2 linked regions of the Saccharomyces cerevisiae S288C genome follow. Changing the gene in region 2 together with the main gene of any one other region gives a genetic interaction. Each region holds a gene or a part of one and is shown on either strand. Other genes may lie near its edges.

Region 1 (5,768 bases), on a different chromosome or scaffold from region 2:
TCTCGTTTTACTGGAGTTTTACATTTTCAGTTTCTTTTTCGGATGCGAATGATCACTAGCTTGCAAACACGAATTGATCACGTTTCACAATTGTTCCACCAAACATGGCGATAACGGCAGCGTTTCCTCGAGAAATAGGCAACATCTAGATCTCGAAATGGTTGGTCTGCACCTGTTTCTGGGTGACCAATCCTCGGAGCCATTCCAGTGCTTAAGTCTTCAGGGGCCAGAACGCGTCTTTGCCGGGTGCCGCATTCTTTTGGCCCGGTCGCGCCTGCCCAAAGTAGCAATACACAACACCCAAAGAAGGAATTTCTTTTTCTGGAATATTAATGGAGCGGAGCCGCGCGCTTGCTGAACGCCAAAATTATAAAAACAAACTTTGCAGGTTTTTGAATCTGACGCAGTCAATCATGTTTCTTTTCTCGTGTAGGTTAATATAGATAAGCGCCCAGCGGTATGCTTTTTGCGTTTTTTGCTATTTTGAGACAATGGCGATAGTTTAAGTTTCTTAGTATGCAGAGGTGCTTTTGTACGACTGGGGCGTTCCTCAGCGCAAGAGTAAGAAATAGTTACAAATTCGTCGATAAAGGTGTATGTAATGTTAAGCGCTAAATATGTATGTAATGTTAAGCGCTAAATATGTAATGTTCCAAATAAGTTGGGAGGTTACTTGGTTGGGCATAGTAACGGTCCATTATTTTGTGTTTTTTTTATTTTTTTTTATTTTTCATTTTTTTATCTATTCTCGAAACTGCCCCAACGTACGGACCAGCTTAACGGATATCTGGCGGTATGATTCTGGAATATTTGACCTGGTTGTTTTCTGAACCGTCATCAAGGAAGTCAAAAATTAACATGTTGTCGATGGTTTCATTCAGATTGTCTTCGTTAATGCCGTCCTGACCCAATGCCGGCAGTGTTTCGTTATGGGGAAACATCCACTCTCTCCATTGAGTGGTCACATTGTCGCAGAGGTCGTAGAGGATCATTTTTAGCAGGGTAATATGGTTGTAGAACCATGAAACGGATCGATTAATAAATATTCTGTAGTTTTCCATCTCTTTCACCGCATGCAGGATGGTGTAGTTGTGGAATCTTCTTTTGTCTCTTGATTGGTCTCTCCAAAATTCGAAAAGGGCAAATAACGCCTTTCTCCTTTGCCAGGTTCTTTTGGATTCCCGAAGTTTTAAGCCTAGACCAACTAGTTTATTCTCCCACCTGAATTCCATCAAGAAGTACTCCAAACTGTTAACGTATTTCTCTGTCAGCGTTGTCTTGCTCAAAATTTCAAAGGCAAGTTCCGTCTCTTCTTGAATATCAGGCTTGAAGAAATGCGCATTCATTTTTTCATGCTTTGATTTAGCAGCATAATCCTCCTCATTGATGCTAGAGTTGATCAATTCCTCTTCTTTCGCCTTGAATTTAAATTCCAGGTACGCTCCTGTGGTAATGGGAACGTCCGGAATATCTCTCCGGTAGAAGAAGCCTTCCCGGCAGATTAATTCAATGGGAGTTGCCGTTAACAATGTATTGCGTGACTCTGTACCCAAACCGAGGTTTCCGTTGCCATTGCTACTATCGTTAGCAGACTCAGTATCGTTATGGATAGATGAAGTACCTTTGGATAAATCTGCGGAGATGTCTCCTGAGACATTCTCCACGGTGGCCAGCGTTCCGCTATTACCAACACCCCTTTCTCCCTCATCTTCTTCACCTTTTGTATGATCTTCTGTGCGTCTCTTCTTTGGTGATATGCTCGTATTCTCTGTTTGATCCAATGCACCGTCATCGCCTGCTGTTCTTTTCCTTATCGTGTCCGAAGGTTGTGAGTTTTCTAATGGAACGAACGTGGTAGTTTCTTCATCTCCCGGGGTCTTTCTTTCATATTCTGCATTCTCCTTGGTAATTGCCTCTTCCCCAGAATTTAGCATGGACTGTATTCCAACTTTGTGAACCGTATCGGCAGCGGATATGGTTAGACCCATCTTGAGAGAGTCGCTGTTTGCGTTTGAGCCCTCATTGTCAATATCGACGAGTTTTTCTTGCTCTAATGGTTGATATCCTTCCTGTTGGTGGTCTGAAATGCCGCTGATGGAGGCCGATCTTGGTTTTGGCGACATTGAAGAACCTTTAGTTGTTGGTTTTTCTGCACTTTTTATCTTTGAACGGGTGGAGATCTCATTCAAATTTAAGTTCAAGTGATTATCATGTATTATCGAAGTCATTCTTTTCCTCCTCTCTTCTTCTTTCATTGCTTTTAAGAGTTTCTTATTAGACTCCATAAATGACTTTGCTTTATCGCGATCGTTATATTTCATATTAACAAGCATTTTCTCCCTTGAATCACGTCTTTTATCTAATTCTCTTTGTTGTCTATTCATCTCTGACGTAACCGCCGCAGCAGCGGCAGCTGTTGCTGCTGCTGGAGAGGAAACGGGTGGTAATTTGACCGTAATATTACCGCTGGCGTCATAACTTAATGAAAACTGATCGTTAACCATTAATCGGCGAATATCACTATTGATATCTGAATTAGCTGAAAATTTAATGACGTTGTCAGTATTATTATTATTGGTCGTATTATTACCACTATTTTCGCTGGATGATTTGATGGTTATTATTTTCTCCTTCTCGGTTTTATTTTCTTCAACATTTACCTTTCCTTCCACGTTATTATGAACAGTATCAGTAGTATTCGAATCCTCTGCGTTTGGATCACCATTAGTTGAAATTAGAGAGGCCAGTTCTAAACTTTTAATGTCTATTTCTTGTGTGGCTGACCTTGAAGTCCGAACCGGAGCCGGTTGTGACACAGGATTGGATGGAGATGATGGTATTTGATGAAATTTGGAAGATGGAAGCAAGGAATTTATTGGAATCTCGTTTTTAATCCGATTAGATGCATCTGACTTATCTATCGTATCCGTGGAATTGGATATCATTGTTTCCACTGTTCTCTTTTTTGGGGGCCTGCCTCTTTTTCTTTTGATTTGAATTAAGTTGTTCGGCGTAACAGGTGTTGGTGTGATGGAGCTAGAATTAGCAGTGGATGGTCGCTCTTTACCATTTTCATTGTTCGTTCTTTGCGGTACGGAAGTCAAGGACATATCAGCATCATCTCTTGATGATGAAGGGGCAGATAATAAAAGCGACTCTTGTTTCGTTGATGGTTCCACAAAATACCTTTTGGATTTAGACGTTTGTACTACGGCAGTCGGTAAAGTAATATTTACTGGTGAGAAAGGAGCACCCTGATTGGATGCACTTTTGAGATTGACCGAGGCTGCGTTTGACACTAACTTATTCATTGTGGAGGTCGAGGCATCTTTTCTTGGCCTGCCAGGTCCCCTTCGAGAAGAAGAGGTATTATGCTGTGAACTGGTATTGTTGGATGAATTTTCTATGAGAAGGTTAGAGTGATTTACTTTCGAAGTATTTTGCAACATTGTCGATAATTTGTTCAATCGTTCATTCAAATTATTGACCAATATGTCAGTATTTACTTGATTCTTCATGACATCATCCAGCTTATTTTCCAAAACTGATTGGTTGTGTGATAAAACTTTTAATGAGTTAAACAAATCCTGCACAGAATCAGTGAGGGAAGTGTCTTTGGAAAGCAAAGCCGTCTTCAAATCGTTGCATTGTTTTGTGACTTTGTCCATACCCTCTTTTAGGGCTTCAATAGATGAATGTGGAAAGGCCTCGGAATCTTTTATATGAAGCGGATTTGAACCAAAACCAGAGCCAACTTGTCGTTTTATATCAGAATCATCACTGACTGGTATGTCTGTGATGGATGGCAAAGCTTTAGCGTTCGCATCTGTATCTAGCTTCCTCAAACTATTAGCTTGATTTTGAGCACTGGTAAGTGCTAACGTATCTACGTCATCTTTGGGTCCAGACGGAAGTCTCTGTTCATTGGTTATGTTATCAGAAGGGGCTGTGGTGTTCTCAGACATCCCCGCAACAAACGAATTTTGTTAATTATGTATGAAACTTTTCGTTTGATCTCAATAATACCACTAGCGACTAAATTTTTATGATACTTAGCTACTTTAAACAAGTCCCTTGTGCTCTGTTTGCTGACACTTTTGATAAAATATGCCTGTGTATAATTCTTTTAGCAGTTTATTTCAAACACAAATGGTATTAAAAGGATAGATGAAAAAAAAAAAAAAATTAAAGCCACTAGTAATGATACAATCGTGGTATCACAAGCGCTGAATGAAACAAGTGTGGCTATCTATAGCGGATGCAAGTGGAGAACTTGTGAATCCAAACTGAAATATTTTGCCATCATTTGTTGTCCTTTCCCTTTTCCATTCAGGAAAAAAAAAAAAAATTTGACGTCGCCGTCGCGTCGCAGTCATATAATTACAGCAATTTATCTTGTTGAACGACGCAAATTAATGGAAATTGTGACTTACATAGTAAGTATTAGTAAACGTAGTTAAGGCCACGTGGGAAAGATATGAAAGGAGTGTAAGTAATGGATATCGGTCTAACGAAAATGGAAACCAATCTTTAAAAATGATAGTATGATTCGACAGTAAACTAGAAAAGCCACAACCCGTGGGACATGATAAGGCTGCTCGTTTTTGACGCAATTTTTAGACAATACTGAAATTTAGCATAATAAGCTTTCCCAGTGAAAGTAATAATATTTAACCTAGGGTAGGGGTAGGGAAAAAATAAAAGTAAACCATAATGTCACATTCCGGAGCTGCCATTTTTGAGAAAGTTTCTGGGATAATTGCCATAAATGAGGATGTTTCACCCGCAGAATTGACATGGAGGTCTACGGACGGTGACAAGGTTCACACAGTTGTCTTATCCACTATTGACAAGTTACAAGCTACCCCTGCTTCCAGTGAAAAAATGATGTTGAGGCTAATCGGGAAAGTGGATGAGTCAAAAAAGAGAAAAGACAACGAAGGAAATGAGGTTGTGCCCAAACCGCAACGTCATATGTTTTCGTTTAACAATAGAACAGTTATGGATAATATCAAGATGACCCTTCAACAAATCATCTCACGGTATAAAGATGCAGATATCTACGAAGAAAAGAGAAGAAGAGAGGAGTCTGCGCAACACACAGAAACACCAATGAGCTCTTCTTCTGTTACTGCAGGGACTCCCACACCACATCTCGATACACCACAATTGAATAATGGGGCTCCGTTGATTAATACAGCCAAACTAGATGATTCTCTCTCTAAAGAAAAATTGTTGACCAATTTAAAGCTACAGCAATCTTTACTGAAAGGAAACAAAGTTCTAATGAAGGTTTTTCAGGAAACAGTCATTAACGCCGGTTTGCCTCCATCTGAATTTTGGTCAACTAGAATTCCGTTATTGAGGGCTTTTGCCTTATCTACTTCTCAAAAAGTTGGGCCTTACAACGTTTTGTCAACTATCAAGCCGGTGGCTTCATCGGAAAACAAAGTCAATGTTAATTTGTCAAGAGAAAAAATTTTGAATATTTTTGAGAACTATCCAATTGTAAAGAAAGCTTACACTGATAATGTGCCCAAAAATTTCAAAGAACCAGAGTTCTGGGCAAGGTTCTTCTCTTCGAAGTTATTCAGAAAATTAAGGGGTGAAAAGATCATGCAAAATGATAGAGGTGACGTAATCATTGACAGGTACTTGACATTGGATCAAGAGTTCGACAGAAAAGATGATGACATGCTATTGCATCCTGTGAAAAAAATTATAGATTTAGATGGTAACATACAGGACGACCCAGTTGTACGAGGCAA
Region 2 (3,767 bases):
GAAAACGCTAAACATGCCAAGACCGTTTTCCAAAGGGTTAGCTATGATGGACAGACGAGTATTGTAAAGTGTAAACCATTGACAGGTAGAACTCACCAAATAAGAGTCCATTTGCAGTACTTGGGATTTCCCATAGCAAATGACCCTATATACTCGAACCCAGATATCTGGGGTCCAGATTTGGGCCGCGGTGGACTTCAAAACTATGATGACATCGTTCTGAAACTAGACGCTATTGGCAAGACTAATCCTGCAGAGAGCTGGATTCATCCTCATAGCGAGGGTGAATACTTGCTTGGCCGTCAGTGCGAAGAATGCGAGGCTGAAATGTACACAGATCCCGGTACTAATGATCTCGACCTCTGGCTGCATGCCTTCCGGTACGAGTCATTGGAAAGAAATTCGGATACGCAAAAACCTCTCTGGAGTTATAGAACAAAATACCCTGAATGGGCCTTAGAGCCACATCGCCGATATATGGAAATGGCCGTTAAGGAAGCTGGTAAGTGTGGCCCGACAAAGACTGCTTTTAGTGTTGGTGCCGTTCTTGTTCATGGAACTCAAGTACTTGCCACAGGATATTCAAGAGAGCTACCAGGAAACACTCATGCAGAACAGTGTGCTTTGATAAAGTACTCGCAGTTACACCCGAACTGTCCCACTATAGTCCCTATGGGAACAGTGCTCTATACAACCATGGAACCCTGTTCCTTCAGGCTAAGTGGCAATGAGCCTTGCTGCGATAGAATCCTGGCCACCCAAGGTGCCATTGGTACTGTCTTCGTGGGGGTTATGGAGCCCGATACATTTGTTAAAAACAATACAAGTTTGAACAAGCTGGAATCGCACGGTGTGAACTACATACAAATACCAGGCTACGAGGAGGAGTGCACCATCATTGCCTTCAAAGGCCACGATAATAGTGACGACAAAGCTTAGACTATTTAGCATATATATTATCATGTAATCTTACATCATATCTACAATAACCACTCATTACTGGAAACGGAAAAAGGCGCCACCGAAAATTTTGAGTAAAAAGAATGGAATTAACTTCAACCACAACACAGACAAAAAACACTAGATAGTGAACCAAAAGAAAGCACAACACCAAACATGAGCAGCATTCCAGCTGGCACTGATCCTGGGTCCTGCGGTGCTAATTTCAAGAATGACCGCAAGCGCAGAGATAAGATCAACGACCGTATTCAAGAACTATTGAGTATCATTCCCAAAGACTTCTTTAGAGATTATTACGGCAATTCTGGTAGCAATGACACGTTAAGTGAATCCACTCCCGGTGCGCTTGGGTTGTCCAGCAAGGCCAAAGGTACAGGGACCAAGGACGGAAAGCCCAACAAGGGCCAAATTCTCACACAGGCGGTAGAGTACATATCACATCTACAAAATCAAGTGGACACACAGAACAGAGAGGAGGTGGAACTGATGGTGAAGGCCACTCAGTTGGCCAAGCAGACAGGCACCATTGTCAACGATATAAACTTAGAGAACACCAGCGCTGAAGTCGCCCTGTCCAGGATTGGCGTGGGACCGCTGGCCGCAACAAATGATGACTCAGTAAGACCGCCAGCAAAGAGGTTGAGCTCCTTCGAGTACGGAGGGTATGGTGAGTACGGTAATGGTAGCTAAAAGTACTTCTGACTCTCACTATTGCTATGTTGTGATAACCCTCGTTGGTAGTGATACGAACACTTCTCTTCTTTTTTGTTGTTTTTGTGAGAAAAAAAAATCTAAATGAACATATTGCTAATGCAACGGATAGTTAGTTTTATTTTGGTGGTTAGTCAAGGGCGATACTTTCATGTTGGAGAGCTGACCATGACAATGTTGAAAAGACCTCAAGAAGAAGAGTCAGATAATAATGCTACGAAGAAGCTGAAAACGAGATTAACGTACCCTTGTATCCTCGGGAAGGATAAGGTGACGGGCAAATTCATCTTTCCTGCAATCACTAAAGATGATGTTATGAATGCAAGACTGTTTTTGAAGGACAACGATTTGAAAACTTTTTTAGAATATTTTTTGCCAGTGGAAGTCAACTCGATCTACATTTATTTCATGATAAAATTGCTGGGATTCGACGTCAAAGATAAAGAACTATTTATGGCGTTAAACTCTAATATCACTTCTAATAAAGAACGTTCTAGTGCGGAACTATCGTCTATACATGCAAAAGCTGAAGATGAGGACGAGTTGACCGATCCCTTAGAGAAAAAGCATGCAGTAAAATTAATCAAAGATTTACAAAAAGCCATAAATAAAGTCCTTAGTACAAGGCTTCGATTACCCAACTTCAATACGATTGATCATTTCACCGCCACTTTGCGTAACGCCAAAAAAATTTTGGTTCTGACGGGCGCTGGAGTTTCCACTTCTTTAGGTATTCCCGATTTTAGATCATCTGAGGGGTTTTATTCTAAGATCCGACACCTTGGATTGGAAGACCCTCAGGATGTTTTCAACTTGGATATATTCTTACAGGACCCTTCTGTTTTTTACAATATTGCCCATATGGTTTTACCACCAGAGAACATGTATTCTCCGTTGCACAGCTTCATTAAAATGCTACAAGACAAGGGCAAACTATTAAGAAACTACACACAGAATATAGATAACTTAGAATCGTATGCAGGGATAGATCCTGATAAATTAGTGCAATGTCACGGTTCATTCGCCACTGCATCTTGTGTGACTTGCCATTGGCAAATACCTGGTGAGAAAATATTCGAAAATATTAGAAACCTTGAACTACCATTATGTCCCTACTGTTATCAAAAAAGAAAACAATATTTTCCTATGAGTAATGGCAATAATACGGTGCAAACAAACATAAATTTCAACTCACCCATTTTAAAGTCGTATGGTGTTTTGAAACCAGACATGACATTTTTTGGCGAGGCCCTGCCATCGCGATTTCATAAGACCATCCGCAAAGATATACTGGAATGCGATCTATTGATTTGTATAGGAACAAGTTTGAAAGTGGCTCCTGTGTCTGAAATTGTCAATATGGTACCTTCACATGTTCCGCAGATTTTGATCAATAGGGATATGGTTACACATGCAGAGTTTGACTTAAACCTGTTGGGATTCTGTGATGACGTGGCCAGTCTCGTAGCTAAAAAATGCCATTGGGATATACCGCATAAAAAATGGCAAGATCTAAAGAAGATAGATTACAACTGTACGGAAATAGATAAAGGTACGTATAAGATTAAGAAACAGCCACGAAAGAAACAACAGTAAATTCCAAAAAAAAAAAAAAAAAAAAAAAGAAGAAAACACAGAAGGGGGAGTAAAAATAAGTATACCGCTGCTATTGCATATATTCGAGCATTTCATTCATGTATTTATTAATATGACCAGATAATAAAGAATATTCAATCTCAATTTCTTTAACTTCAACTTCGAAATCTTTTTGTAATTGTTTAATTTCATCATTTAATTTATTGATTTTACCACTGATCAGTTCCTCTTGAATGAAAATGTCCGTTTTGTCAATCTTAGGTTTGATTTCATTTTCATATTTGATTTGTAGATCCATCAATTTAGTATCATTTAGGCGCGACTCTTCTTTAGTATCTTGCGATAGCTTTTCCAAATTCTTGAGTTGCAAATCTAACTGTTCTTGTAAGATTTCTAATTTATACATAATACCTGTTTCCAATACATTCATCAATTTCAGCTTATTGTTGATTAAATTTTGCTTTAATCCCACAAGTTCCGTTTCAGTTCGATTAGACTCT

Evidence for each region.
Region 1: of HST1 (region 2) and SUM1, changing one suppresses a phenotype caused by changing the other (phenotypic suppression), as found in Saccharomyces cerevisiae (5 studies listed by BioGRID, with this or other methods).

The regions. Positions count from the first base shown.
Region 1 is NC_001136.10:1,080,352-1,086,119, forward strand, and holds SUM1 (Sum1p), read right to left. Parts: upstream 3,966-5,768; coding exon 777-3,965; downstream 1-776. Other genes in the region: TFIIH/NER complex subunit TFB1, read left to right, coding at 4,714-5,768. UniProt on the Saccharomyces cerevisiae protein: DNA-binding protein that specifically binds the regulatory region of middle sporulation genes (MSE). Required for the repression of middle sporulation genes during vegetative growth. Represses expression via the recruitment of histone deacetylase HST1.
Region 2 is NC_001147.6:199,868-203,634, reverse strand, and holds HST1 (histone deacetylase HST1), read left to right. Parts: upstream 1-1,755; coding exon 1,756-3,267; downstream 3,268-3,767. Other genes in the region: bifunctional DRAP deaminase/tRNA pseudouridine synthase RIB2, read left to right, coding at 1-939; RTG1 (Rtg1p), read left to right, coding at 1,117-1,650; kinetochore-associated Ndc80 complex subunit NUF2, read right to left, coding at 3,338-3,767. UniProt on the Saccharomyces cerevisiae protein: NAD-dependent histone deacetylase involved in telomeric silencing.